Mytilus edulis: one gene and its partners. The main gene of each other region encodes a partner of the protein of the gene in region 4 in a complex. Links are inferred from orthologs where the notes say so. Each region holds a gene or a part of one and is shown on either strand. Other genes may lie near its edges.

The links.
Region 1: the proteins of DNA replication complex GINS protein PSF1-like (region 4) and DNA replication complex GINS protein PSF3-like are in contact, whole or in part, in a cryo-EM structure (PDB 8Q6O), measured with the Xenopus laevis proteins. The link is inferred for Mytilus edulis from reciprocal best matches to the Homo sapiens genes GINS1 and GINS3. Residues at the interface, in NP_001085502.1 of Xenopus laevis: Met1, Phe2, Cys3, Glu4, Ile7, Ile10, Arg11, Leu13, Gln14, Ser17, Asp18, Gly19, Gln20, Leu21, Glu49, Arg55, Asp57, Leu58, Pro60, Thr61, Lys63, Phe64, Arg65, Cys67, Cys68, Arg71, Arg74, Cys75, Val77, Ala78; in NP_001080618.1 of Xenopus laevis: Trp2, Pro4, Tyr5, Met6, Pro7, Val8, Glu16, Asn17, Phe18, Leu19, Ser20, Leu21, Glu22, Asp23, Leu24, Leu25, Ser27, Gln28, Ser37, Phe39, Pro40, Arg41, Leu42, Phe44, Leu45, Pro63, Trp65, Leu66, Gly69, Leu70.
Region 2: the proteins of DNA replication complex GINS protein PSF1-like (region 4) and DNA topoisomerase 2-binding protein 1-A-like are in contact, whole or in part, in a cryo-EM structure (PDB 8OK2), measured with the Homo sapiens proteins. The link is inferred for Mytilus edulis from reciprocal best matches to the Homo sapiens genes GINS1 and TOPBP1. Residues at the interface, in NP_066545.3 of Homo sapiens: Asn43, Gln44, Val47, Asn48, Lys51, His66, Arg91, Tyr94, Gly95, Ser96, Asn100, Arg103, Phe104, Arg119, Ala122, Met125, Glu132, Gly133, Leu134, Asp135, Thr137, Gln138, Asp139; in NP_008958.2 of Homo sapiens: Leu490, Leu491, Ser492, Gln493, Tyr494, Glu495, Asn496, Leu586, Ser587, Arg588, Thr589, Val590, Val596, Cys601, Glu602, Val603, Ala605, Thr606, Val607, Gly608, Val610, Lys629, Pro636, Val637, Pro638, Val639, Met640, Thr641, Arg726.
Region 3: DNA replication complex GINS protein PSF1-like (region 4) and DNA replication licensing factor mcm2-like share a complex: the UniProt entries of both Homo sapiens proteins name them as parts of the CMG helicase complex. The link is inferred for Mytilus edulis from reciprocal best matches to the Homo sapiens genes GINS1 and MCM2.

The regions. Positions count from the first base shown.
Region 1 is NC_092348.1:25,067,640-25,074,791, reverse strand, and holds the start of DNA replication complex GINS protein PSF3-like, read right to left. Parts: upstream 3,028-7,152; 5' UTR 2,963-3,027; coding exon 2,863-2,962; intron 4-2,862; coding exon 1-3. UniProt on the Homo sapiens protein: Required for correct functioning of the GINS complex, a complex that plays an essential role in the initiation of DNA replication, and progression of DNA replication forks.
Region 2 is NC_092353.1:31,999,161-32,007,095, forward strand, and holds the start of DNA topoisomerase 2-binding protein 1-A-like, read right to left. Parts: upstream 3,019-7,935; 5' UTR 2,906-3,018; intron 195-2,905; 5' UTR 165-194; coding exon 72-164; intron 1-71. Other genes in the region: zinc finger protein 1-like, read left to right, coding at 6,838-6,886, 7,290-7,315. UniProt on the Homo sapiens protein: Scaffold protein that acts as a key protein-protein adapter in DNA replication and DNA repair. Composed of multiple BRCT domains, which specifically recognize and bind phosphorylated proteins, bringing proteins together into functional combinations.
Region 3 is NC_092344.1:14,624,053-14,631,830, forward strand, and holds the start of DNA replication licensing factor mcm2-like, read left to right. Parts: upstream 1-4,776; 5' UTR 4,777-4,884; coding exon 4,885-4,890; intron 4,891-6,124; coding exon 6,125-6,324; intron 6,325-7,778. UniProt on the Homo sapiens protein: Acts as a component of the MCM2-7 complex (MCM complex) which is the replicative helicase essential for 'once per cell cycle' DNA replication initiation and elongation in eukaryotic cells.
Region 4 is NC_092352.1:54,417,425-54,422,953, reverse strand, and holds DNA replication complex GINS protein PSF1-like, read left to right. Parts: upstream 1-4,254; 5' UTR 4,255-4,327; coding exon 4,328-4,918; 3' UTR 4,919-5,006; downstream 5,007-5,529. Other genes in the region: prolyl 4-hydroxylase subunit alpha-2-like, read right to left, coding at 1,165-1,337. UniProt on the Homo sapiens protein: Required for correct functioning of the GINS complex, a complex that plays an essential role in the initiation of DNA replication, and progression of DNA replication forks.

The DNA of each region.
Region 1 (7,152 bases), on a different chromosome or scaffold from region 4:
ACCCTAAAATAGATTTGTACATTTCATTAATGTTGATGGAGTAAATATGGCCTGAAACTGTTGCAAATATTACATGCACAAACTATACATTATATGTACTTGAAAAGTAAACATAACTGATTATCATTTATTTTATCATCTTCTGCAGGGAAAAAAAGAATGCACTACATTTGTATCTTACTTCATATACCTGTATACAAGTATATATGCAGAAATTACAAATTTTCAAATCATTCTCATTTTTTTGCTAGCTGTGGAACCGTAGCTCTTAAGTCCTTATCTTATTTTTTTACAATTTGTGGTCATATGGTCCAAAAAATAACATAAGGACCTAAGAGCTATGGTTCCTCAGTTACATTTTTCTACCTATTTTAAATACAATTTATTATCTTATTAATAGGCACTGGCTACAGTTACATGGAAATGTAACAATAATAAAAATATTATTATTGCTACATTGGCAACTAATTGCCATAATACAGGGTTGGGTAAGGATCTGATTAATTACGAATGTATTGTAACAATAATAATTTAGTCTACGGTTACATTGCGTTATTGTTACATTAATGCACTTCAATGTACCCTAGCGTAATTCAACTTAAACCCTCTATAGTCATGATAGTTGTGTAACTGTTGATTCAACTTAAACCCTCTATAGTCATGATAGTTGTGTAACTGTTGCTTCCTTTTTTTCGCCGATAAGAATGAAATTACTATCACAAAATATCTAGACTCTGAAAAAGAAAACAGATTCCACCAGTTTCAACATGTCGGCAAATGTTTATTACATCAATTGCCTTCACAGTTGACTTGTATTTTTATGTTTTATTGGGTTTTTAAGATATGACAAGTTGGATATGGAAATCGGAGGTGAACATAAAATCAGTAATGGACGGTAATGAAATCATACTACAACCTCACATGTACATGTGCTTCCAACCAAAAAAATGATGAAAATATAAACATACCAACAAGGAGTTTAATATACAAATACTTGATCAAAGAGTAAAAACATAATTTTTCAGCTGAAGCATGACAGACATTGAAAGTTTTTTAAACTTAAAAATAAGTATAGTACATAATGGAATTGTACAGTAGCCCCACAGGACGCAATTACGACTGGACACAATTACGAACAATTTCCAACGTTTGCCCTCTGAGATTATATTTGTTTATATTTATCAATAAATGTTTTTATAAATAAAAACCCTACTAAAAATCCCTTGTTTTCATGATAATACAATTTATGTGCACTTGGTGAATGTTGATGACGATGACAAAATCATTTTGAAAATATTATAAGAACGGCAATCTGACCTGGAAGTTATATAAAAAAAAATACATAAAGGTAAGTGCATATTGCCTTCTTTTGTTAATATATAGAAAGAAAAAGATCTCCTGATTCTGTTCATATGCGTGATGCCTTTTATCATGCCCAAATAACCCCAAATTGACGTTTTTTAGACTCTTGTGAACCTATGTATGGTCAAAAGAAAATACGTTAATTTTATTGAAAAGTCCAGAGAACTCCGAAAGAAATGTTGACCAATATAAAAAAAATCATATATGAATGATAAGTACACCATCGAAATGGATAAACTTGAATTTAGTGCTCCTTTAAAGGAGGAACTTACACAAAAAAAAAAAATCAGAAATCTTTCCTTTACACATGACCGACATTTCGTCTGCAACCACTGCTGAAGTAATTGACGTAAAAAAACAAACTTGTGCTTTTTATTTTCCTATGAAAATGTGTTTGAGATAAAGATTAATGTATGCTTTATCAATATAGACTGTTGTCATTGATTTCTTCTGCAAGATATATCAATATAGTGCTGTTCGGAATTGCGTCCATATGTGGCTCTCTTGACCCGTAAAACGAGATCATGCAAATCTTACTAAAGTATCCCAACGTGCATAAAATGTGGGATATGCTGCAAAATGGAAAGCCTTCATACATCTTAAATTCTATGGTATAAAAAATTCAAGAAAAGTAGTCTACATAAAAAAATATTAATCAAAGTTCAAAAATCGTTCGTAATTGTGTCCGGTGAGGCTATGAAATACAGACGTGCATGTTGCTGCACCACTTGTTTGTGATAGCTGCTTTGTTGCACCAAGATTTGTCAGACTAAAGCATGCTCCCAAATACAACATATTGAATTTGTAGAAATGTGATATTGCAAATAAAATTTTTAAAAATTGTATGCAAGTTTTATTTTAATACACATCACTAGTCCCAGCATACATTGAAGTGAATTAATGTAACAATCAGGCAATGTAACCGTAGACTTGATAATTATTGTTACATTCATAATAATAATCGGTTCCTTACCCAACCTTACATTCCAGCAATTAGTCTAATATTTTTATTATTGTTACATTTCCATATTACTGTAGCCAGTGCCTAATTAATATTATGGGGCTGGATATACTTGGGGCCTGATTTGTGTGGGCTGGTAGACTTTGGGACGGTTCAACTTGGGGCCTGATTGTGAGCTGATGGACTTTGGGAGGGTTCGACTTGGGGCCTGCTATGTGTGGGCTGATAGACTTTGGGACGGTTCGACTTGAGGCCAGAACGATCTGATACCATCCAGACAGAAACTGTACCTGGTACCCTGATGTCCTAAAATTTATTTTCATAGATTACTCTGGGGTTTCAAAAAGGTTTAGTATTTTTCAGACCACCTGTCTTAGAATTATTCTAAGCCTGCGATCATGGCATTATCTCATATTCGTGTCTCCTGTAAAACAGAGAGACAGGATCACACTTTTCACAGGCAAGATACAATTTCTCCCCTCCCCTTTTTCCAAACACCAAAAAGGTTCGTCTTTAGGGAATATTTGCGGTGTTCTTGCCTAATCTGTAAATAGGTAGTTCAACTTTGCATGGCAATCTTTCTTGTGTTGTAAGAATGTCACTAATACTGAAATAATCATCGACACTTTCACTTGTCATTTCTTTGTGTTTCAACGTTTTAAAATTCCGCGCTTCCGTCTTTTGACATTTCCGGTATGTTAAAATTGCCTAAAACCTCATTTACAGTTCCGAACTCGGTCCTGTCTGTGTGAACAAAGATGCTCTACCATGGACAAAGCAACAGTAGATACATTATGTATATTGATCCCGAGTGCTGTATTCTGTGGTTGTGGTTGCAAATGTTAGTTTACTCATGAGCTATTCCTGCTAGAACACCAGTGACCTTAGTCATAGATTGTGTTTTTCTTTGCACGTAGCCAGAAATAATTATTCCTAACATGGTTATTTTTCATTATTTGTTCATTAATGATTTTTATTAGTTGAAAATTTGCACTGACCTAAGCTTCTTTTTATATAAAAAAAGGTATTTATACTAAAAAGAAGGACAATCAAACGATCCAAAGGTTAAAGTGCTCTTTGTAATACTGATGAAGGCGCTACCTTAAATGCCAGCTATATACAAAGACTATGTCCTACATATTGATTTATTGTTGGTTTGCTTAACGTCCAGTGGCAAATAATTCATGCATGTTCAGGACTAATGCCCCACATATAGTTTTTGTCTAAAATAAAATAATAAGTTCAGGTGGGAAATGTTTAGGGAACGATCATTAAACTTAAAAATGCTAGAGGGAGTATGTTTTTTTTTTCTTAAAAAAGATAATCTGATTCCCCATACTTTCCAGTGTTAAATTTTGACCAAATGATTTTGTTTTTACATCAACTTCATGTTATAGTTTAAAGCCAGTTTTACGTCGTTGCTGTCCGAAGACACATTTGGTTTCCGGGCAGTAACTTTAGTTAAAGTGAATGGATCTCTATAAAATTGTACCAGAAGGTTCAATTATACACACAAAAAAAAAGGTTATAATAAATTGATTTTAGGGGTTCCAACAGTTTAGAAGTCAGGGTCTTTTTGGGGTTGTTTTACCATAACTTGTTTTAGGTTTTCTTCTGAAAAAAAATACCATTTTTACATTGATTATTTCTCATTTATATATTTATGTAGCAAATACTGATATAAGACCATATTAGACTTATCAGTGACGCTCAAATCAAGATTGTTTTTTTAGGCCAAACAAGTACAAAGTTGAAGAGCATTGAGGACCCAAAATTCCAAAAAGTTGTGCGAAATACGGTTAAGAAAATCCTTAGTTTTAAAAAAAAAATTACGTTTTTAAAACAGAAAAATATAAAAATGACCATATATTTGACATTTATGTCAACAACGAAGTGCTGACTACTGGGCTTGTGATACCTTAGGGGACGAAACGTCCACCAGCAGTGGCATCGACCAAGTGGTGTAAATAGTTATCAAAGGTACCAGGATTATAATTTTATACGCCAGAGGCGCGTTTCGTCTACATAAGACTCATCAATGACGCTCAGATCAAAATATTTTTTTAAGCCAAACAAGTACAAAAATGAAGAGCATTGAGGACCAAAAATTCCCAAAAATTGGCGGCCAAATACGGCGAAGGTAATTTATTCCTGAGATAAGAAAATCTTTAGTCGATAAACCAGGCTGTTACCTGATAAAATTGCATTATCTGCAGGATTATTGATAGCTTTCTTTGCTATTCACAATGACATATTAATTACTAAACGATATCCTCCATACTATTCCAATCTGAGATTTTATTCATACATAGTCTGGCACGGCTGGTGCTGTTCCAAGTTGTTTTCTTTTTATGGCCAACCTACCATAGTAGAGGGGCATTATGTTTTCTGGTCTGTGCGTCCGTTCGTCCGTCTGTTCGTTCATTCGTCCGTCCGTCCGTTCGTTCGTTCGTCTGTCCCGCTTCAGTTTAAAGTTTTTGGTCGAGGTAGTTTTTGATGAAGTTGAAGTCCAATCAACTTGAAACTGATTTCACATGTTCCCTATGATATGATCATTCTAAATTCAATGCCAAATTATATTTTTATACCAATTTCACGGTTCACATAGAAATTGATAGTGCGAGTGGGGAATCCGTGTACTGTATTGTGGACACATTCTTGTTCTGCATGTTTCTTGAGAATTATTTGTTTGGCCTGGTTAGTCACTATAAAGTGTAATAATTCACATTTAGTCGCATCACATAAAGTAGTTACCAAAAAGGTACCCGTGACTTTCACATGAGAGAAGCTAGGATTTTTTTTACACATTTTAAACATTTTTGTGGGACTATCATATGAAATTCAGGAGATATGTAGTTGCAGATCCTAGTCTACTGCAACTGAGATGTTCGGGCTAACCTGATACCTGTTTTCAAATTAGTCCATATTAAAGTTTGAAGGGTCCAAAATTAAAATATGTCTGATTTCAACTGACATACAATACTTGGTGTTTTCTATATGCCAAATCTACATCTGCGGTTGTATCAGGCTGCGCTCGACGAAGCATTTTATTGATATTTGTTTTAGACTTTTTTTTATTTTGGTCATGAAATTTATTTGTAGGTGTGAAGTTGCTAACGTGAGGATACCCTAATTGCACCTATTTTAACAGTTTTTTCACCAACGTTTTTTTTATGAACCAGACAACAGTTTTCATTATGTGCTTATTTTGTAGACATAACCTTTACTATATAGTTATATTTGCTTGATTTTCATTGAAGAACACATAATCTTTCAATCAATTTAATTGAGGTCTGAAGCTGGCATGTCAATACCTGCTAGTAGTCCCTTGTTAATTTATGTATCATTGTCATTTTGCTTAGTTTCTTTTGTTACCTTTTCGAACTTCTTTTAAACCGAGTTCTTCTGTGAGTATTGTTGTGTGTTTCTTTATTCTACATTGGCTAGATGTATAGGGGGAGGTTGAGATGTGACAAAACATGTTTAAGGGGCCAGCCGAGGCCAACCTCAAGGTGTTTTTTCCCCACAGCGTTGAAGACCCATTGGTTGCGTTTAGTTATTGTCTGCTCTTTGGTCGGGTTCAGTCAGGAGTCTACTTCGTCAAAATTATCTCCCCATTACGCCAGTTCATTTTCACAATCGTAGAAATGGAAGCCATTGTAGGGATGACGCGCTACCAATATTGCTCTTGGAAACCGATAAATTTATCCACATTGCACCATTACGATCCTTATATGTCAGTTGTATTTTAAAAGACTAATGTATTAACTAGCTAATGAGCATCAGTTAAAAATCTAGTCTGCATTGATTCAACTTAAAACTATTGTCTGATCGGTTGTCAGGTGGAATTTTCGAAAATTCATAAACATTTAAAAAAATTCTAATTAAATAATTCGTGGAAGGGCAGACTAGATTTTTTTAGTGTATGAAGACTATAAACCCTAGTAATCACACACAAACAATTAGATTTTTTCGAAGATATGCATTTTCATCATCCAACTTGAAAGACTGTCGTCAAGTACTTTCAGTAAAAAAATAGCTATTCGAACACACCTTCTCTGTTTTTGTGACTCATGAGTTAGGTATTTCACTTGACCCATATATTTCATCTTTTAGTACTGTGATTTTTTTGTGTTATAAAGTCAACCTCTAGCTTTAATATATAAAAATGATAGAATCTGAAGCGAGACGATGTATGAAATATTCTTGCTTTGTACGATATCAAGACAAAATATTTAACTCAAACACGCCCTTACATAAAAAGGTGCACTCGATTTTCTCTTTTCGATGCAATTGTTACCCATTTTTTGGAATTTTTTCTTCAGTCACATAATGGAAGGGCAGACACGAAAATTACTGAACTAATAGATTGATATGTTTTCCGTCCGTGGTAATTTTTTCATAAAAATCGGAGGTTATGCATTTTCTTCATCCAACTTGAAAGATACCCATGTCGTCGACTTGATATCTAATTGTTCTGCTTAACTATGTACTAGATAAATTGAAATGGTGTTTTTAAAATAAAACACCTCGTAATTGAGAAGAAAATTGCAATTTTGTTTGTTTTTATTAACTTTTAAAAATTTTGTCACTATAGTAAACAATACAGTAAACATTTATCGCCTTCTCTAACAAAGAGCTTCGATTCTTTTGTTCTATTTCAACCTGGTTTCCGACTGGGGTTGTTGTCACTTTACCTTATTTTCATTCTCAATTTTAAAGTAATTGTAATTTCGTCGATTACATTTTGAAAGTAATCGACCCCATCCTTAATTTGATCTTGGGAGGAAAATAACAAATGAGAAAATACACAATCTAATTAAAATATA
Region 2 (7,935 bases), on a different chromosome or scaffold from region 4:
TCCATTCTGCATGCACAAACAAATAAAATTGGAAGCCATTTTCTGAAAATGTTATATATAAATTTACTTACTGCATATGCATCAAACATAGCTTTAGTGGCACCATTTCTACCAGAGCTGCCATCTGTTCTGATGCAGAACATTTTAAAGTCCCCTTCAGACATTCTGTATATTATTTAAACAACAATCTAAAGCTGAAAAAAATAATTTTTATTGTAATAAGTTGAACAATGAAAGCAAATTTAAAACCTATTTTCCATGCTTGTTAATAGGCCTAGCACTCGAACTGGACTGCTTGTGGGACAGGTGCCATAATTTTATAATGGATCTAAAATAATTATTTACTTAAACCATGTAAAAAGCCTGTAGTCAAAAGAATTTCTTTTCTACTCACAAGACTGGTAGCTAGTTACTCTTGGATTTTATTGAAGACAAGCAAATTCAATAAGCATTGATTAACACACATAACTATCAAAAACAAAAAGCATTGCATCATCTAAAATAAAAACATACATTATATAAAACACCTGTTTTCTAGTCTATAGCATTATTACTGGACATCACAAAGATTTACAGATGACAACAGTCCAATAATCGCTGACTGATGAAGGGACATTTCAGCCATACTTTGTAATGTTATTTCTACTGTACTTTTTATTGATATACATTTAAATATATATATATACGGTAGTTTAAACAGGTCTCATTAAAAAGTATCATGCACGGTGCATTGTTTAAACAGGATCCCAGAAAGCTTCAACTGGATGAAAAAGTTGTGTAATTTTAGAACTTATCCGGAATGGAATAAATAGTGATTAGGTATATGGAGGCAGGAAGTGGGATTTTGGGAAGTTCTGAAATGTTTTAGCCAATAGGCATTCAGAAGTCAGGTTTGAAATAGCCATTAACAAAATGGCATTTTATACAATACTTTTTTATACAACATTTTTATTTCAACAATGAAAACATATCTTTAGAAATGTTTTTTTATTTAGAAGAGTAAAAAAATAACGTACTCTGCACTAATTTTGAACGCTGGTATAAGAGTAGTGACGTCAATGGGAAGTTTTCCCATGTGATAAAAACAAACACAAATACTGAAGAAACCATCAAGAGGTACATTTTGTATCAGGACCGTTCGCCCTAATAACATGTTCCCCCTAGGTTCGTTCGCTCTGAGTTCGTTTGCCTATAGAGTCTGTTCGCCCTACTATAAAAAGATTAATATTGAGGGCATTGAAGTTGAATTAACTTATTTAGATATTTCTATGGTATGTATATCATGTATATTCTTGAAATATTGAAATATTTAAAAGTTTAAGGCTTGTTTAGGATAATTAATTGTTCAATGACAAAATAATTCAAATCACTGATTGTTGTGATACTTGTCTTTTGGTGGATTAATATTTAAAAACGGATAAAATTTACAAGTTCATTTATTTATACTCTACTAAGTCTAAGACTAGTCATACTGCCATACATTTGTGATTGACCGAATACAATTATTTTGTTAACAAATATCAATAAAGATGAATACATTGAAATTTCTACTCTGCAAATCAAAGGGAAAATGATAAATTGATTGCGGCAATATAAATATTCTGTCAATTTAAAAAAAAACATTCAAACTTTAACATATTTTGAATACAGAATACTTTGTTCAAATACTTAAAATAATGCGACTAGACAACAACTAGAAAAAAATAAAAATCAGGGCGAATGGACCCTGGGTGAACATGAATCTGGGTGAACGGACCCGGATTCCCATCAAGATGACCGATTTTAGAATACAGTATTCTGTAGGTGTCGCTGTTGACACTGGATTGTCTCCCTTGTAATTTTTCAAGTCTCGCGTGTATATATTTCACTCTGGTAAACAACTCACTTGTACTTTAAGATATATACTACTAGGTGGCAACTGCTTAACATATTTTTACAAAAATTAAAAAGATATATACATTTATTTATTAACATGAAAATTTAAAGGAAAAAAAAAAAAAAATTTAAAAATTTAACATTACATTAATCAAACCGGCCCGACTCGCAAATAAAGTCACCCAACAATCGCATTAGTGTTTCATTAGAGACGGAGACATTGTCGTTTTTTTCTATTGACAATAAAAGTTCCAAATCAATATGCAACGATCCTGTGTTAAAGTATATCTCATGTATAAGTTTCTGTCTTGCCTCTTCATAATTTTCACAAAATAATAAATAATGTTCCAGTTTCTAATTGACCACATTCACACTTGGGGTCTATATTTTGATTGATTTTGTTCTTGTAATTTTTTAGGTAGTATCCGGATCTTAAATTTCTAATAATTTTTGCTGTTTTATGTTCTGGATAATCAAATGTAGATTTTTTGCTGACAGTCTGATGAAAGTTATAATAAAATCTTCCTGTATCACTATTATCCCATCTATGTTGCCACTTTTTATTTACTAAAATTCTTGCTGCTGTTTTAATATCTTGTTTAGTTACTGTAATATGAGCTTCTTTTTGAATTTGATTTGCCTCTTTAGCTAGTTTATCAGCTATTTCATTTCCTCTAACATCTAGTTATACAGTAGGATATAGCAACTTCTGCAGTTAGTGGCTGAAAAGTCTTGAAAGTATAGTCAGAGAACTGTTCCTTTCAAATAAACTAAATCAGTAGACAGAGCAAAAACTCCGTAAAAAAATCCTGTGACAAAATTACTAAAAAAATCTGTATTAATCAATCAATTTCATGTTAAACTTTTATGTTTTGAGATTTTCACAGATGATGCACTGACAGCATGTTGTTTGTAAAACTGTCAAAAGTTAGGGAAAATGCTACTGTTATTTTCAGTGGCTTTGTGACACAGTTAAAGGGTTATGTTTGTTTCTTCATTGAAATTTCATGACATCTGTTTCATTTTTTACCTTTGTTTTCATTAAATCATTTGTTAACTTAAACTTTCAAAACAAATAAATGTAATTCGGAATTTCGGGGATTTCCGAAAAACCGCCTGCCGTGCAAATCCCGCCGAAAACGTGATAAATAATATATAATTAATTTTCTTAAGTTAATTTTAATTTAGTAACAATTTTCGTGGTCAAAATGTAAAGGGTTTCACACAGATTGTAATTATTGGAATTAAAAAAAAATATTATAACATTTGTATACATGATCATACATCGCGTCACGAGAATTTACGAGATTTCATTTTCTTTTGTCAATGCCGAAAAGTGAGAAATAATAAGGTAGTTATATCCCTAAAAACATGCTTTAAATCAGATCGTATGCAAATATATTAATGACAAAACCCAACCAACGTGTTATTGCATATATTTTAATCACCTCGAATCGCTGAAAACTCATCAAAAATATTGTTTGCCCATTGGAATTGGCATTGAACAAATGTTGAATAAATTATTTAGCCATCATTCGGGTCAGCAAGAAATTATTACTGACAATTATATCAATTCTCACACTGACAGGTGATCTTAGAAACGAATATGATGACTTGGTTAGAACTAAGCAATAGACAGGAAGTAAATGACATAAGACCAAGATTTACTGAAAGAGCTAGCGAAGGAAATAGCCCCTATACTCACACTGATCTTCCAAACATCAATCGAAACAGGGGATGTACCATCTGACTGGAGGAATGCCAATGTTAGCCCAGTCTTCAAGAAAGGCGAGAGATATAGAGCAGAGAACTACCGACCAATATCTCTGACTTGCATATGCTGCAAACTCATAGAGCACATAATCACAAGCCATATCATGAACCATGCAGATCGCCACCAAATTCTATACCCATTACTACATGGCTTTCGCTCCAAACGTTCTTGTGAAACCCAGCTAATTGAATTTGTGGACGACATCACTAAAAACATGAGTGCAGGTAAACAGACAGACGTACTAATTATGGATTTCTCTAAAGCTTTCGACAAAGTTGGTCACAGTCTACTCGTTCATAAACTCGAACACTACGGAATCAGAGGAAATGTCAATAGGTGGATTGCTAGCTTCCTATCACATCGGACACAAGCAGTAGTAGTGGATGGAGAGAGCTCATCACATATTGATGTAGAATCTGGGGTACCCCAAGGCTCAGTCCTTGGGCCTTCGCTATTCCTGTTTTACATCAACGACATGCCTGATGGAATTAAATCTACTATTCGCCTATTTGCTGATGACACCATAGACTACCTTACAATATCAAACGACAAAGATTCCAACGACCTACAAAAAGATCTAGATAAATTGGCAATATGGGAAACCAAATGGAAAATGGCCTTCCACCCAGACAAGTGCAATGTACTCACCATCAGCCGGAAAAACAACACCATTGCAACATCATACAAACTACATGGTCACACTTTAGAACTTGTCAAAAGCGCAAAATACCTAGGCTGCACATTCACGTTCGAAATGAAATGGAATGACCATGTTAACAACATCTGCAACAAAGCCAATAGAACAATCGGCTTTCTAAAACAAAACCTGAACATCGGATCAACGTCTGTATGGGATCCATACAACAAAACAGAAATAGACCGAATTGAGATGGTTCAGAGACGTGCAGCACGTTATGTGATGAATAAACACTAAAATCACTCAAGTGTAAGCAAGATGTTAAACAACCTAGAATGGAGATCACTTGAACAAAGAAGAAAAGATGCAAGACTAACCATGCTCTTTAAAATAGTAAACGAGAAAGTTGCTGTGACAAAGGAAGATCGTTTGATTCCACCTAAACGATTGTCAAGAAATATGCATGACAGAAGCTTCCAAATTCCAGCAGCATCAAATGATTACCGGAAATTTTCTTTCTTTCCACGAACCATCAAAGATTGGAACAGTCTACCTCCTGGGGTAGTGTCAGCGCCGTCAGTCGAGGCTTTTAAAGCCTCGGTGACAAAGCTGAACTAAATTCAAACAATATGGGGGGAGGGGGGAGGGGTCCGTATGCGCACCGAAGTCATGGCAAAATATTCAATTAGTTGATTGTGGCCATTATCCGGTAAAAGTAGAAGTAGACAGTCTGTAGCTCAAAATGCATTTTTTTCAAGAAATAATAGACATAATTTCATAAAATTATTAACTATTTATCCTAGTGGCAGTGCAAATTCTGTGATGAATTTTGCACTCTTGACCCTCTTGCTGCCAGTTGTTTTTCAGGGTTGCATTTCATATGCCAGAAAATACGACCACTCGACGTTTGTGACAAGAAATGCCAAACAATGACGTCAATCAATATATGACGTCATGTTGTAATGACCGTTACATGTGAGAGCCATTGTAGAAACATATTAATGTTCGGTCTTTCATTTTGAAAGAGGAACAGCAATGATCAGAAGCTTGCATAAATCAAAACATGGACATACATTTATATGTGTCCCTCCAGCACAGTGGTTGTAGACTGACATATGTATCCCTCCGGAAGCAAGAGGGTTAAGCTGTAAAGGGTTATCCAGAAGGGTTCTAGAATTGAAAGCCCCACTTCCATGACTTTTATAGGTTGCGTTCGCCATACTTGAATTGTGTAACTATAGAGCGTGATTCTACACTACAGCACCTTAACCCTTTGATCTAAAGCGCTGCCATGCGTCTCAGATGTCCCCAGCTTAAGTCTTGGAGAAGACAATATGGCTTTGCCAAGAAAATCATGCTCTCTGGAAACATTTGGCGCTGTACTCAAGAAAACAGCAATATGGTTAACGTTAAATATCATTTCTACCTAGAGTAATCATTGTTAGTCGTATGATATGATGACATCTGAGGTGAAGGAACATGAAGGGAATGCCACAAATAAAGCACATTTATATGATATAAACAGTCTTCACGCTGAACTGCTAAACCTACAGGCCCACAGCTCAATTTTTGGAAAGTTTTAGTTAAGATTATGTTGGCCTGTAGGTCTGATTTTTACAGGCCCCAGAGCAATTTTACCATCATGGGCTGCCACTAAGCGTGAAGACTGTATAAATATTTTTTTCCAAGTGAAAAACATGGTAAATAGTTTATACAGCATCATGTACAGCATAACAACCATCTACATGTCTTGCTTCCATGTTGTCTGTCCCGAGTCGATCCTGTCCCATATTTAAAGTCAATCTGTTCCCAATTAAAAAATATATTTATCAGGAATAATAATGACGATATATAGGAATTGTAATTCAAGGTCATTATAACAACAAAAATGAATGTCAAAATACATAACAATAATACCATATTAGCTTTTTAATACCAAATAATCAGTTATGAATAATCAACATCATGAACATTTAAGGATAAAACATCTATTAATCACAACAAAAAAAACCCAATAATTCATTCATAAGATTAAGATTTATTTTCTCCTGAAAATATAAATATTGGGATGTAATATAGCCTTTCTTTGAACAAAAATAGGGTGCAAATTCGAAAGAACCCAGTGGGCTTATGTGTTTTGGGAGCAAATGGATCCACTATATATATATATATATATATCAACAAGTGTGATGGACCACCATCTTAAAAAAGGGCAAGGAGATCTTTCCTATTTTCTGTTATTTAAATTGTTAGTCAGAAACTGCTTTAAAAGGTAAAAGAGTAATTTGGTTGATTACCCATGACTGATGCCTATCATGAATCAGGACAATTTCTTTTTTATAATATTTTATTGTATTGCTGTTGAATATTTTGATAATCAATCATGATCAATATGTTCAGTTATACAGTACTTATTGATGGTTTATCTGAATGTGTTTGTACAAGCTGTTTACATCATCCATCTATCTTTACATACATGTATTCAGACTTTATGCAATGATTTTTTGATAATTTACATGCATTATCTCTTACAGAACCAGTATTAATAGAGATGGCATTACCTCTCATACGAACACACACACAAGAGCGACCAGTTACACGTAAGTCAATAAAAAGTAATTCATTGAACAACTTGAATAATATTCTATAAATACATGAAATAGTATTCTACTGATGTTCATCATGTTTATCATGTTTATATCATTTTGAACATTTTTTACATTTTGAATCAAACTGATGTTGCCATGTTTTATAAGTGTAACTTAGAATTTAGACAAAGCTTTGCAATAGTTGAACTTGTAATTGTTTTAGTGTAAAGGGGATGTTATTTGTCATTGTTGAACTTGATAATGTTTGTTAAATGTAAAGGCTAACTAGTGCAAGTAATATTACAACATTTGAATTTATTTTTTATGATAAATTTTCAATCTCCTTGTTTTTGTGCTGAAGTTTGATTAGTTTGTATTTTATATCAGACTCCAGCATTTTATTTTTATTTTGCAGCTCAAAGAGGAAGATCTATTGGATCAGTAAGTTTGTACTTGTAGTTTTACACAAATGAAATTATTTATTATTCAAAGATCATGTGTGACACATTTTTTGATTCATTGCCCATCATCTTCCTGTTTAATGAATATATTTATGTATCAAAGATATCTAAAGTTAGGAATCAAATTTCATGAGATAATGCTTTTCTGTTTGATGTCCTGATAGAGGGGTTAGAATTAGTGATTAAATACATGTAGCTTATACAGTCGATTCCACTTAATTGCATACCGCTTAATAGCATAATTCGGTTAATTGCATAGTTTTCTCCTGCACAAAACCATTTCCCATTCATCTAATGTTAAATTGTCCGGTTATATGCATAGCTCTACAAGTGGCCTTTCGGTTTATTGCATAGAAAATTATTGCCGTCTAGATATGCTTAGTTAAAACTGACGAGATTTTTGACCGGAAACGGTCATTTGGTAAGTATATTTTTCTTGAATGCATCCTTATTTTCGTTATTATTTCATATTTACTTTTGTGTTATTGAAATAAAGTTTTAAAACAGTTTCTTTCGTGTTTATATTATGGAATTTGATTTAAAAATAAACCTCGATGTCTACACAGGTAAAGTTTCCCATGTTCTATTTTAAGCCTCGAG
Region 3 (7,778 bases), on a different chromosome or scaffold from region 4:
ATATATATAAAAAAAATGAACGAAAAACAAACATGTAACACATAGTGTAAACAAACAACAACTACTGAATTACAGGCTCCTGACTTAGGACAGGCACACACATACATAATGTGGCGGGGTTAAAAACATAAGAACGAAATTTAAAAATCAGTTGAAAAAGGCTTAACTCATGCTTAAACTCCACTTATCTTAAACTCTGTCGGATAGTTGACTCATTGACAGTCATACCGCATATCCTTATTTTATTCTGGTATGAACTACCTTCAGGTGAAGTTGGGACTACTCCATGTATAAAAATAATCTCTTGAATAACATATTTAAGATACAAAAACTGATATACATGTATGTAATTTCAATCAAATAGTGTATTGATGAAAACCCAAACGTTGTCAAGCATCAATTAACACAACACATGACAGTAAAACATTTGTCACGAGAACCCAACAAGGATAAATCATGTATGGATGATGTATGATATGGTGGATATGGTTACGTCTCTATCTAATTTTGATATATCCTCAGTTTTGTTTTACGTTTTATTTACACCAGATGAGTATTCCAATATAAACAACATTACCCGATTTTGTTTAAGAAATACAACTGCAATTTGTCTTATAACAAAATTCAAAGACATATATACTTAACTTGTTGAAGTAAGTAAAGATAAGAAGATGTGATATGAATGCCAATGAGACAACTCTCCACAAGAAACTAAAAAACGTAGAGGGCTAGCAACTATATGTCACCGTGTAGTCTTCCACAAAGAAAAACCAATCTCGCATAGCAAGCTATAAAAGTTTTTCAAAGGAAAATGTTAAAGAGTTCAAACGCAAAAACTAAAGGCCGGATTTATCTACAAAACAATAAACGAGAAGCAAATATAAGAAACACACATCAACACAAAACCACTGAATTACAGGCTCCGGAATTGGGACTGTCACATACATAGTGTGTCAAGGTTAACATGTTTGCATACGTGCCAACCCTCTCATAACCAGGGACAGTGGTGTAACAGCACAATATGTAAGAACAAACTATATAGATCACTTGAGAAGGGCTAAAAACTCTTAAAAGCGATACACAGAACAAATCAAGAGACTAAAACTAAAAAAATATAAATCTGAGACTACTCGCAGTATATCTGAAAACTAGTTCACAGTAAATAAGAAATAATAAGAAAATCATGTACCTAAGTATCTAGGTTGTGTCTAAAACTAGGCAATTATCAATCAGTACACGTCCAACTTTAAATGGATTTAGTGTAAAGACGTCATTTACAGTCGAGAAAACATTACCTTCTGACAAAACAAAGGTATTGGTATATGCTACTATGAAATTATAAAGATGTAAAGCGCATGCAGGAATCTGATAAGATATGCTGTTTCGCATATATCTTTTTGTCACTTACAAAGCTTTAACGTTTGAGATATTTTCTGTAAATCTTTTCATTTGACTATTGGACTTATAATGAGTACGGTTTATGCTGTTGTGAACCATTGCATATTATATTTCTTGTATAAAGGGGAGATTAAATAGTTTGCTAATTTGTAGTTTGAAGCAGAACTTATATGTTTTTATATTTTTTTGCATTAAAATTATGAACAAATGCATTCTGGACATTGTACAAGAAAAGGCCCTTCTGTATACTGTTCATGACGTTGATTTATGATAGGACACACGATATAAGTGTAGGATGACATAAACTTATATGAGTACTTTGTGTTTCCTTTCGGTTAACTGCAAGTATTATTTGATACGGTATTTCTTATTTTTTGGGGTATATAATTATTGGTTTTTATCTTTTATGCATCTGTGTATCATTAGGGAGAAAGGAATTCGAGTTCTAAATAAAAAAAAAATCGCCATAATTCACAATCCTGAAACTGTCCTGAGTAGCTGTCTTTTGTTTTATTCTTAACATATTGTATAACAAGCTGTCGTGTGTTGAAGATAATATTGACAACTAACATCAAGGTTTTTTTAATCTTTTTTATCTTGTGCCTGGTTTTGTTGAGTTTGTGACGTATTTATTGATTTAAAATGTCTTCAGTAAGTTAAATCTTAGGGAAATTGACATTATCGAATTTATAGTTTACATATAAATGGAACATTAAGTGTGTACACTATCTTATATCAAAGATAACTTATGACCACAAATGTCGAAAATTCTACTGGAAGAAGTTTCTGGGCAGTGGCTATTTTACCGGCTCCGGCAAAATAGCGATTTGTATAGAGTTTTGCAATTTTGCCGGTCTCAATTAAGATTAAAATAGAATTATAGAAAGTAATAATATAAAGAATACAGAAACATACACTTTAATAAGAAATCTCAGAAATCTCTATACAACTATATCTTCTTTAAACATTTATACAAAACGTTTGATATTCTTTACTTTAATAAGAAGTCTCTAAAACATGTCTTATTTTTTAAAATGTATACAAGTAACTTTTTTTCTTAAATAGGAAGCCTAAAAAATATTTCTTTTTAAAAAATATATAATAGACACAAGCAAAGCATACGAACCCATATTAAAAAATCGACATTCTGATTAAAACTTTTAATAAAATTATCCAATTAGTTTTGAATCAAAAGTTTACACCCAACAAAATCAAACTGCTGTACGAGCGCTACAAAACCAGTGCCTTGCTTTTTGGTGAATTTCTTTTAATTCTGGCACCAGTAAGGTGCTGCCACTGCAGACATGAACTGAACATAACACTTGATTTTTTAATGTCTGCATCTCTTTTGCAAAAATTGCAGATATACACATTTCAGTATTCAACATTCATAGAATAAATATCTAGATTTCTATGAACATTATTTTTTTTTTGTCAATCTTATATTTTATTGCACCATAGACTAAAGATTATTTTTAAAGTTTTGTTTGGTTTTCATAAATTCTATATAGTCATCGTTTCACGTTTCAAAGTACTCCAAAAACCGGCTGTAGCTCTTCATATTATCAGTCAAAAATCAAGTTGATTGATAGCAAATTTATTGTTTTCCATTTTTTTTTTCAATCTTCAACAGAAATTAATGTATGTACATGTAATTTGAAGAGTGCAGTTCACAAAATTGAATGACTAGAAAGGCAACTGAGGTGAACAAAAAGGTTATTGACATCATCTAGCCGGCCACATATATCATTTGTGCATAAATAGTTTCTTAAAAAAAATGTTTCATATAGTCTTGATTAAAAATCTGAAATAAGACCGACAAAATACCAAAACTATACAAATCGTTATTTTGCCGGAGCTACGGCCAATGACAAAACCTACCAGAGACATGTTAAGTATATAATATGTCTCTACACTTGACTGAAAATTCCACCAAAACGAAAACATATTGAAAAGTTGTGTATAAAGGAGAAAGACACTATACTAGATTTTACAGTGTTATCACCATAAATTATAGTTATGGTACCAAGTATTGTATCTTAAAGACTTAAAATAATCTATTCCATAAATATGTCCCACCGTGCATTTTATATTGGCAGTGTCTGCGCGTACCCGCATGCGGGTACGAATAGTCAAATTGCCGTTCTAGGCTGCGCGTACCCACATCCGGTTTCTAGGCTGCGCGTACCCACATCCGGTTTTCTATTGAAATGCCATCGGTTCGGGAATGAAAAGTGAAATATATACGGAAATTATCGATAATGTGGGGATTTCGCGTAGAACGAGTGAAGAGTATGAAAAGTAATATTTTCAAATTGTATTTATTAAATAATGATACATAATAAACATTGCAAAATTAAATGCACAATGATGGAAAATGAAACTGTACAGTCCCTGTAAAAGAAAAACATGATAGAAATTAATACTATTATAAAATTTAAATGAAAATTTAAAGAATAAAATTTTAAATATTTAAAAATATACCCATATGATATTTTAAAATAATCTTTTAGTAAAATGTAAAACCGAAACTGAAATTTATATTAAAATATATAAAACATTTATGTATCCAATATGATTGTTTTGGCACAGATTTCAACCCAGCACATTTCAAATGTTGCCATTCTAAACAGCAATCACATGCCAACGAGTCCTGATCGTGCCCGTAGGTTTTTTTTTTACACTTTATACATATCCAGTCGCATGTTTCCCTTCTTTCAGTGATCTTAATTTTTAGTTGTAACCAAGCTTACGTTTTTAAAAGAAACACCAAGAATCAACCCCCCCCCCCCCCCCCCCCCCCCCCATGAATGCAGGAAAAATTTATTCTGTTGTACTTTAAATCTTCTTTAATTTTTGTGATCCGGGGTTCTTCTTGTCTCTGCGGCTGCTATAGACTCCGAATTTCTTTTATACAATTGTATGAAATTTAACGCCTGATAGTTCTGTACATTTTAAGAATATTTACTAACTGAGAAAAAACTGTTTACTTACCTATATATATATATATATGTGTATATTTATAAAAATTCTGAACAGTTTTAATCAATTTATTTACTAATTGCAACACATTCTGTATATTTTTCACGTTTCATTCCCGATCCGACGGCATTTTATTATAAAACCAGATGTGGGTACGCGCAGCCTAGAAAGGCAATTTGACTATTCGTACATGCGGGTACGCGCAGACACTGCCTTTTATATTATTTTTAAAGATCTTTATGATAAAACACTACATCTGGGACATGGAAAACTTTTTAACACTCAATTGGTTCCGTTAAATAATGCAAAGTTTATAACATATTCTTAAATTTTCATAAATATTCGTATGTGGTTTTGAAGAATACGATAATAGTATGATCTTTGATTGTTGCAAACGTACGTTGACGTTGGTAATAAGCTTTACCATTTTAAACTTCCTGTTCTGTGACCTATTGACCCTTTCCCGCGCTTAAGTTGCACATTGTGAAGAAAAAAAGGAAAACAATGGCAGTAAGTTTTGTTGCAATATAATCTATTCTACGACAATTATAATCATTTGAAGACATGATCTTTAAAGGCAGTTTTAAACTGTGCTCATGAAATTTCACAGTTTTAAAGCATCAACAACATAATCATTGTATAAAATTTAGTGAAAGTTTGTCTTCGGTGAGTCCTTCGTCGTAAAATTTTTCAAAAGGGTCCACAAAATTTATTCTGATTACATACAAACCATAGGCCTCCGCTATCTGTAGACATGAATTAAAACCAAGATATATACAAGTTCGTACATGTGTAAAACTATTACTACCTTACCTCTTCAGGGTTTGATATTGGCAGGGGCCCACTTGGCAATACACCTTAATGTCCTTAAATCTATTCCTTGCTGACTTGAGAATCTGTCCCGCTTGAACTAATGACGCCACATAACAATCACTTTTCCATTGTGGCGTCAGATATAATGTAAAATTATTGTATTATGAAGTCAAAATTTTACAGGAACCTTTGGGATCATCAGAAGTCCAGTAAAGGCGAACAAAAAGCGATAGGACTTTAATCATACATGTAAGGGCTGAGTATACCTGAAACGCTAGTGCCTACTTTAAAGTTTTAAGGGTATCACTTGAACAACTCAAGTTGCTATTCAGAACAACTCTATAAGTAACTCTCTCTATATGTATAGCTATTTTAAGGCCCTGACGAGGCATTAAACAAAAATCTGAATGGTTTGGTGTCATTCAAGGGTTTCTTGAGTTTAACCATAGATGAGTGAGGATTTGAACCGGGGTAAGAGGGGTTAACTTGAGAGGTTTTGACCATAATATTGGAGGCAAACATTTAAACTAAAACCAACCAGATACCATATCGGTTTTTTTTTCACGTATAAAATTTCAGGATTTTCATTGAAAAAGGTATAATAAATATTTTGGCGGTTATTATTTTAGTGGATTAAAACTTTAATCAATACCTTTGTATGTGCATTTATTAATCGGCAGAATTATTTTGGAGATTTTCTTTTATTGCGAAAACAAGCGAAAATTAATACCCCGCTAAAATAACTTACTTCACGTTAAGATAACTGGGGGAACTGGGGTGATGAAACATGTTTTCAGACTAAAAATTATTTTTTGTATATTGTAGTATTTTAAAGATTTTTACTGTAATAAACAAGAGAAAATCTGGAAATTTTTACTGTAACATGCAAGAGAAAATCTGGAAAGTTAATATGCATTTTTGTATATTTCAGGAAGAAACATCATCAGATCCATTTTCCACAGCCACAAGTCCTTCTAGGGGTTCTAGAGGGCGAAGGAGTAGTCGTGGGGACCCACTTACTTCCAGTCCTGGACGAGATTTACCTCCCTTTGAAGATGAGAGTGAAATGGATGCTGGAGTTGCTGAGGAAGAGGCAGATGGAGAAGAACTATTTGGAGATAACCTGGAACAGTAAATATTTCTCCTTAAAAATCTGAATGCAAAAAACATGACTAGACACAAATCTCAAAACCCTACCAAAATATAAGGATTGTGTCGCATCAGCCCTATCCAAAATTAGGGTGAACTCAGATAAACAGATACTAGAAAAGTATTATGCAGTTCCTGACTTGTTGACATAACACATTTGTTAAATGAGTTATTTATGATCCTCTTTCAGAAATACAGAGCATGGTGCCATTTAATTTCAAATATGACTGAATACATATATACATGTATTTGAAAGTGTTTATAATTTATGGTAAAATTGGTTCAGGTACATGTAGCACCCTTTACCTTTCAAACTTATCTAGAACTCTTCAAATTAACTCTTAAGGTACTGTGAAAGTACTTTAATTCGTGGGTATCAATTTTCGTGGTTTGAACAAAATTTACATATTCGTGGATTTCAGTTTTCCAAAAAAAGAAAAAAAAAATCAAAAAAAATTAAAGCCATTAGCAATGAAGGTTACAAATAGTCTGGATTGAGGAAATTGCAAAGGAAACATTGACCCGTGTAAATCGTTGTGATAACACTAACCCATGATAAAGTGATCAACAGATTAAAGACCATCAAAGGTGTTAATTAGGCCATAAACATGTCACCTAAAGAAAACAGTAATATAAACAAGTGCTATAAACGTATCTTGAATTGTCAAAAAATTCTTACCAAAATCAAGCTCAGCATGAAACTATTATTTCCCATATGTACTAGAGTAGATCTATGAGGATATAAAATGAACACTTATCATACTAGCATACCAATGCCGAAAATCTGACTTTCATCGATCAAAATTATTTTTATGATAATTAAAAGATGAAAAGTTGTACAGTTTAGGTTATTAAAGATAAAATGGGTATAATCCTGCATGCTGTTGTAATTCTCTGACTGCTATAAAAGTATTCACAGATTTGGCGTTATTTAATATATTAATATATTCTCTTAATCATATCAGTAGTCAAACCTACTGATAGGGATCTTTCCATGTCTTGATTTGGACAATGGTTGTTTTATTTCGTTGGACACTTAAATTCGAGGATAAAGTCATCCATGAAAACCATGAAAATTGGTACCCCACAAACAAAAGTACTTTCACAGTATAAAAGAGACTTTAAGTCACAGGTATGTTTCTTTCAATATTTCCCAACAAATATTTGAAATGAAACCTATAAGAAATTCATTTAATGTAAAAGTGTACCTTCTTCTAAGTTCACATAGGTTGCAATCATATTAAAGGTAAGCACCTATATGTAGGATGATGACATTGTTAGACGAATATTTTCAAACTTTAAGATTCTAGAACTCTGCATTTTTTTTCATCTAAAATTATTGGAAGAATTTCTTACTCCATTTTTTGCAATGCAAATGTTTTATACATATATTTCTCTCTCCATTGTGTAAGAAATGATTTGCAAAAACCCAGTTA
Region 4 (5,529 bases):
CTAAACATTGCTAAAAGTGTAGAGTGTAGCAGTTTTATTGAAATTTCAACAAAAGTTTTATACTTTTATTACTATTATTTGTAAAAACTAAAAGATGCAGATGTCTTCTTACAATGTATATAAAATTAATATTTTTATTGCTTATGGTAACATTTGGTGTTCAAACTCCTACAATAGTATTTTCCTGTTCAATGAGCTTGGTTATTTGGAGCGAAAAATATCAGATAAGAAACATGGAAAATAGTACCAGGCGCGGATCCAGAGGGGGGGTTCCAGGGGTTGGAATTCCCCCTTTTTTTGGACGATCAATGCATTTGAATGGGGACATGTAATTGGAACCCCCCCCCCCCCCTTTGTCCTGGGTTAGAAACCCCCCTTTTTAAAATGGCTGGATCCGCCCCTGAGTACATCCTGTTTTCTGCTTAACAAAATCAAAGCAATATACATATGGAAATTTACAAACCTTTTGGATCAGATACAACTATAAATGGAGCAATTTTATCTTTAAATTGGTATTTTACACCTACATGTATTACTGAATATTATGCAAATGTTTGGGATAACATTTTATCTGACAATATTTTACATGTACATTTTTTGTAGTATTAAAAAAATAAAAAAAGGAAAATTTGATATGCTTGTCAATGCAATGAGACAACTATACATGTACAGGTCACTAGCTAGTGACCAAGGATCAACATGAATAAGGGATGAAGACATGGACATGTCATTTTGGGATACCCATTTATTCAATTTTATTTTTACAAAATGGAAGTAAAGGTCCTCTTTAAAAATCCTCTTATGAACATGAGGAATTGTCAACTTCTAACCAAAATTGTTTAATAATATTTTATGAATTTAAATAATTTAAAACTTTAAATGACTTTTGTACATCCTTTCGAATATGAATCTAAAAAAATTGTAGAAGAATTATCTTAAAACAATCATAAAATAACTCTATTTTGTATCTACCAGTACCACACAATCGAATGATCAGCTATATAGCCATACATCAAGACATGTCAAACTGACAACCTACAGGACTAGATACAAGCTAGGTACAAGTGTACTAGCCTCAGTTAATCATATAAAGTCTGGTGGCTATTATTATTATTATTAATGTATATATTTTAGTTTTATTAAAATAAAAAGTGGTATTCTCACCTAGAGAGTGCATCCAATCTTTGTTTTTCTTCTCTTACATATTCTTTTATTCTTGAAGAAATTTCTCTCTCTGCAAATAAAGCTCTTTCCATGTGGGCCAAAGATGTAAACAGTTCACATCTAACAACTGATGCCACGCAAATAAGCAACAACAAATACCTCTGATTTGTCATTGTTCCTGAGTTAGTCTTCAAAACTTTGTTGTTTATTTTTTAACAATTTGTTTAATAGTGAATGACAACTTCAGTACCAAGTAACATGAAGGGTCTGAGAAATCACCAGAAAGTTCCACGTTGGATGGTGGCTTACGTGCACAAACTCTTGCGTAGAATCTTCAGGAATCTACACACACACACAACATCAAAGAGTGCCCCTTATCAAATTACATTTCATTGATGGGCTATTCCATTGTTGTAGGGAAAACAGGTGTCCCTGTAGATATATGATCATATATTATGAAACAAATCAAAGAGGTTTATAAAGATTGAAAACGTCAAAAACAGAGAATTTTTAATTGCATAGATTTCTTTTGTACGTGCTAACTGATGCACAGTAAAACAGCTTTATTTAAAAATCACATCATTTTATTAGCCCTGGGAGAAAATAATTTTCCAAAGGTCATGTTGATATCACGTGATTACCTCTCGGTCTGGGGTCCTAATCTACGCTTTCAGTCGGCGGCTAAGAAGTGAGTTAGGATCCCAGTTTAATTATTTGTCGGAGCTCCTCGCACTTTTTCATTGTTTAGAACCATGAATGATTTGATAATAACGGTCTCACTAATTAGCGACAACAAGCGTCAACAAGCGACAAGAAGCGACAACAAGCGTCAACAAGCGACAAGAAGCGACAACAAGAATTATTTTAACGACAACAAGCGACAAGAAACTATTTAGCGACAAGAAAACATTTTTTTTTAATTAAAATTAATTATTGCAATAAATATTAAAAGAATATGCAAAAGAAAATAATTTTAGCGACAAGAAAGTTAAAATTGATAGAAAAAAATGAAACATTATTTACATAATATTTTATCATCTATTATGAATAACAGCCAGTATTACGTTTAATTATTGTATTATGAGATTACTTTTCCTTGTGTTTTAGAACAAATTATTTATTTTATAATTTGTTTTTTAAAACTCTAGTCTTTTCGTGCAATATATATTAAGCTCGCAAAATGAATTATTTGTGCATCATTGTCCTGAAAATATTGACACAAATTGTGAAATACAAAGAACTGAAATCAAACAGGAGGAAAAGAAAATTGAAATGTGAATGTTTTCATCTTTTTATTTGTTTATTAATGCCTCATTAAACGATATTTATCATGTTTATGCATATTGATTGAAGATGAAAGGAAATTAATGACAATCTTGAGTTTTCAACAGGTATTCACTATTTACAATGATTGTATATTCTGGCGCGTGTAATTGTATAGTCTGACGCGTGTACAAGTTGAAGGTGTTAATTGGATGTTATTATAGCAATAAAACAGGGGACACGCGACTCGTTAATCTCGTTTGATGTTCCACATTGTGTGTACTGTTATTACCTTAGGGTGAAGCCACATCTAATGTTGTTCCTATCAAGAACAATGAATTATACTGTTAGAAAGGAAATAATATTTCATGTTTTTGTTTCAATAAATCCTTCAAAGGAAAGTTGACCTTTTTTTGTTTTTGTTTCAATTTTATAGCGTGTGCATTTCCTTTGCTCTACCAAGCTGACTGAAGCCATTCAACTTTTATGTTTAGTATAAAGTAAATTGTCAGCATTTCAGTATTATTCTAGCAAAAGTACGTGCTCTGTGCAATTGCTAGTATCTAAAACGCAACTCGGTTTACCTTTGATTAATAAATCAGTTACTTTGTACGTCTTTGATACTGCGCGGTATCAAACGAACCCTTTGGTACAGGGTTTCAATTTCCTTTTGGGCAAGGGAAAAACTTCGATAAATGCATATTAGAAGTATTATAATTATACTATAGTGGACACGTCCGTTCATGATATCCCCTTGGGCAAGGGTAAATATTGAAACGCACTTATTTTGTCACATCGCCGTGTCAAACTGAATCCCTTGGGATAAGGGTTTTCCTCTTGAGCAAAGGAAATAGTAGGGAAGTTATACCTTTGGTTGAAGACAGGGTTTCTAGACAAATATTAAATGAACAAAGCATGATTATTAAAGAAAGAAACCCTGTCCAAGTCTCAACAAATGGCAATTGTCTCTTCAATTCTTTGTCAGTGGACATGTGTGGCAATGAAAGTCTTGCAACAAGACTGAGAGTTTTGACTTGTATAGAGATGGTGTCAAATAAGCTAATTCACAAAGAAATAAAGTTGCAAGAAAGTCTTGTCAATGGCGCACTTTATGGACATGGAGACTTTGAGCTAAGCTCCTCAGTAAGCCATTTTCAATGCACAAAAGCTCTATGGCAGATTAAATCGGAGAAAGAAAAGGCTTTTGCATTGCAAAAATTCTTGACTCATGGGTCTGGAAACACGCTTAAATAATAAAGATGGCAAAGCGTGGCTGAGAGTTCTACAAATAAAGCATCGAATTGACATAACAAGAGTACACTTAGAGCATAGTATTAAGCAAATGAATCAAAATATTATATTCCGTTATGCCCGCTCCATATATATATCTCCATTCGTTTATTCATACTTTGACTTTGATGAAAACAGATACATACATTATCTTATACATATTCTTCATATTTAAAAATAAAAAAAAAAGAACCTCAATCTCTTTCTTTTTCACAAATGTTAAATTTCTTCATCTACCAATATACTAATATAAACTTCACAATCTCTTTCTTCCTCACAAATTTATGTTTCATTTCTTCGTCTATCTATATAATAAAACATTTTAATTAGACATATCTGCTCGTATATTTTAAAAAAAACATTAAATACAAATTTCTTTATATCTAATAAAAAAAAAATATGTTTTCTTGTCGCTAAATAGTCTTCTTGTCGCTTGTTGTCGCTAAAATAATTCTTGTTGTCGCTTCTTGTCGCTTGTCGACGCTTGTTGTCGCTTCTTGACGCTTGTTGTCGCTAATTAGTGAGACCCGATAATAAAATGTTCCGAGGGGAGTTATAAATGGCGGGAATTTAAGTTGATAAACAGTCACATACATTGAACATCGTAGAAATGTTAGCCGAAAAAGCTTTAGAGCTCATTGCTGAGTTACAACGAACAATTGATAGCACACTTGGTCCATATAATGAAGATACAGCCAGACACGTGTTAGAGGAGATGAAAGCTTTGTTTGAACAAAACCAGAAGGATGTCAGCGCCACAGTTGCTGGAGAAAATGGTTTGTTTTCAGGAGTACAACTTCGGCATGCTGCTTTGGAAAGGAATAAAAGGTGTCTTTTAGCATATATTTATAACAGATTACAACACATTAAGAAGATGAGATGGGAGTTTGGAAGTGTACTGCCTTCGGATGTCAAATTGAACCTAGGTGAACAGGAAGTTCAGTGGTTTGGAAAATATAACAAATTGCTAGCAAACTATATGAGGTCTATAGGAGACCACGGGGGACTTGATCTCACACAAGATCTTAAACCACCAAAAACTTTATTCATTGAAGTCAGGTGTTTGATGGATCACGGTGAATTTGAAACTCAAGATGGTAACATTGTATTGTTGAAGAAAAATAGCCAGCATTTTCTATTGAGATCTGAATGTGAACATTTAATTAGACAAGGAGTTTTGGAACATATTGTCCATGGTTAAACACTGTTGAATCAAGTTTATTTAATGTGCAATAAGCCAAAAGCAAGTGTGTAACTTTTATCAAATAAAATCAATAGACAATACCAGACAGTATTTGGATTAATTCTATTTCATTTAATGTAGGTCACCTGGCCCAATGGGTGAACTGATTAATATTGCCCTTATTGTTAGTTATTTTCACAGCTACATGTACATGTATGTCACAGAAACTCGGTTAACTATTAATTTTTTCCAAGGAATATGTCTGTTGATGGGTAAATCGGCTAATGCAACAACAGTATTAAATTCAGGGTTTTAACTTGACTATTGAATGATGAGAGCTATTGAATAATATTCCACAACATTAATACATGCACATGTTTATCAAACTTAACTGAATGTCGAGCAAATATCAATCATCAAATATGTATCAAGCTCAAATTGCCCAAAGTCTGTTAACATGTAGTGAAGTCTTTGGAAGGTCTGTCATAAAAAGTTGAGTCTCCAGAGTCCAAGTCATGCAAATAGCAAAACATATTGTTATGCGTTTACTTTTCTACATTGGCTAGAGGTATAGGGGGAGGGTTGAGATCTCACAAACATGTTTAACCCCGCCGCATTTTTGCGCCTGT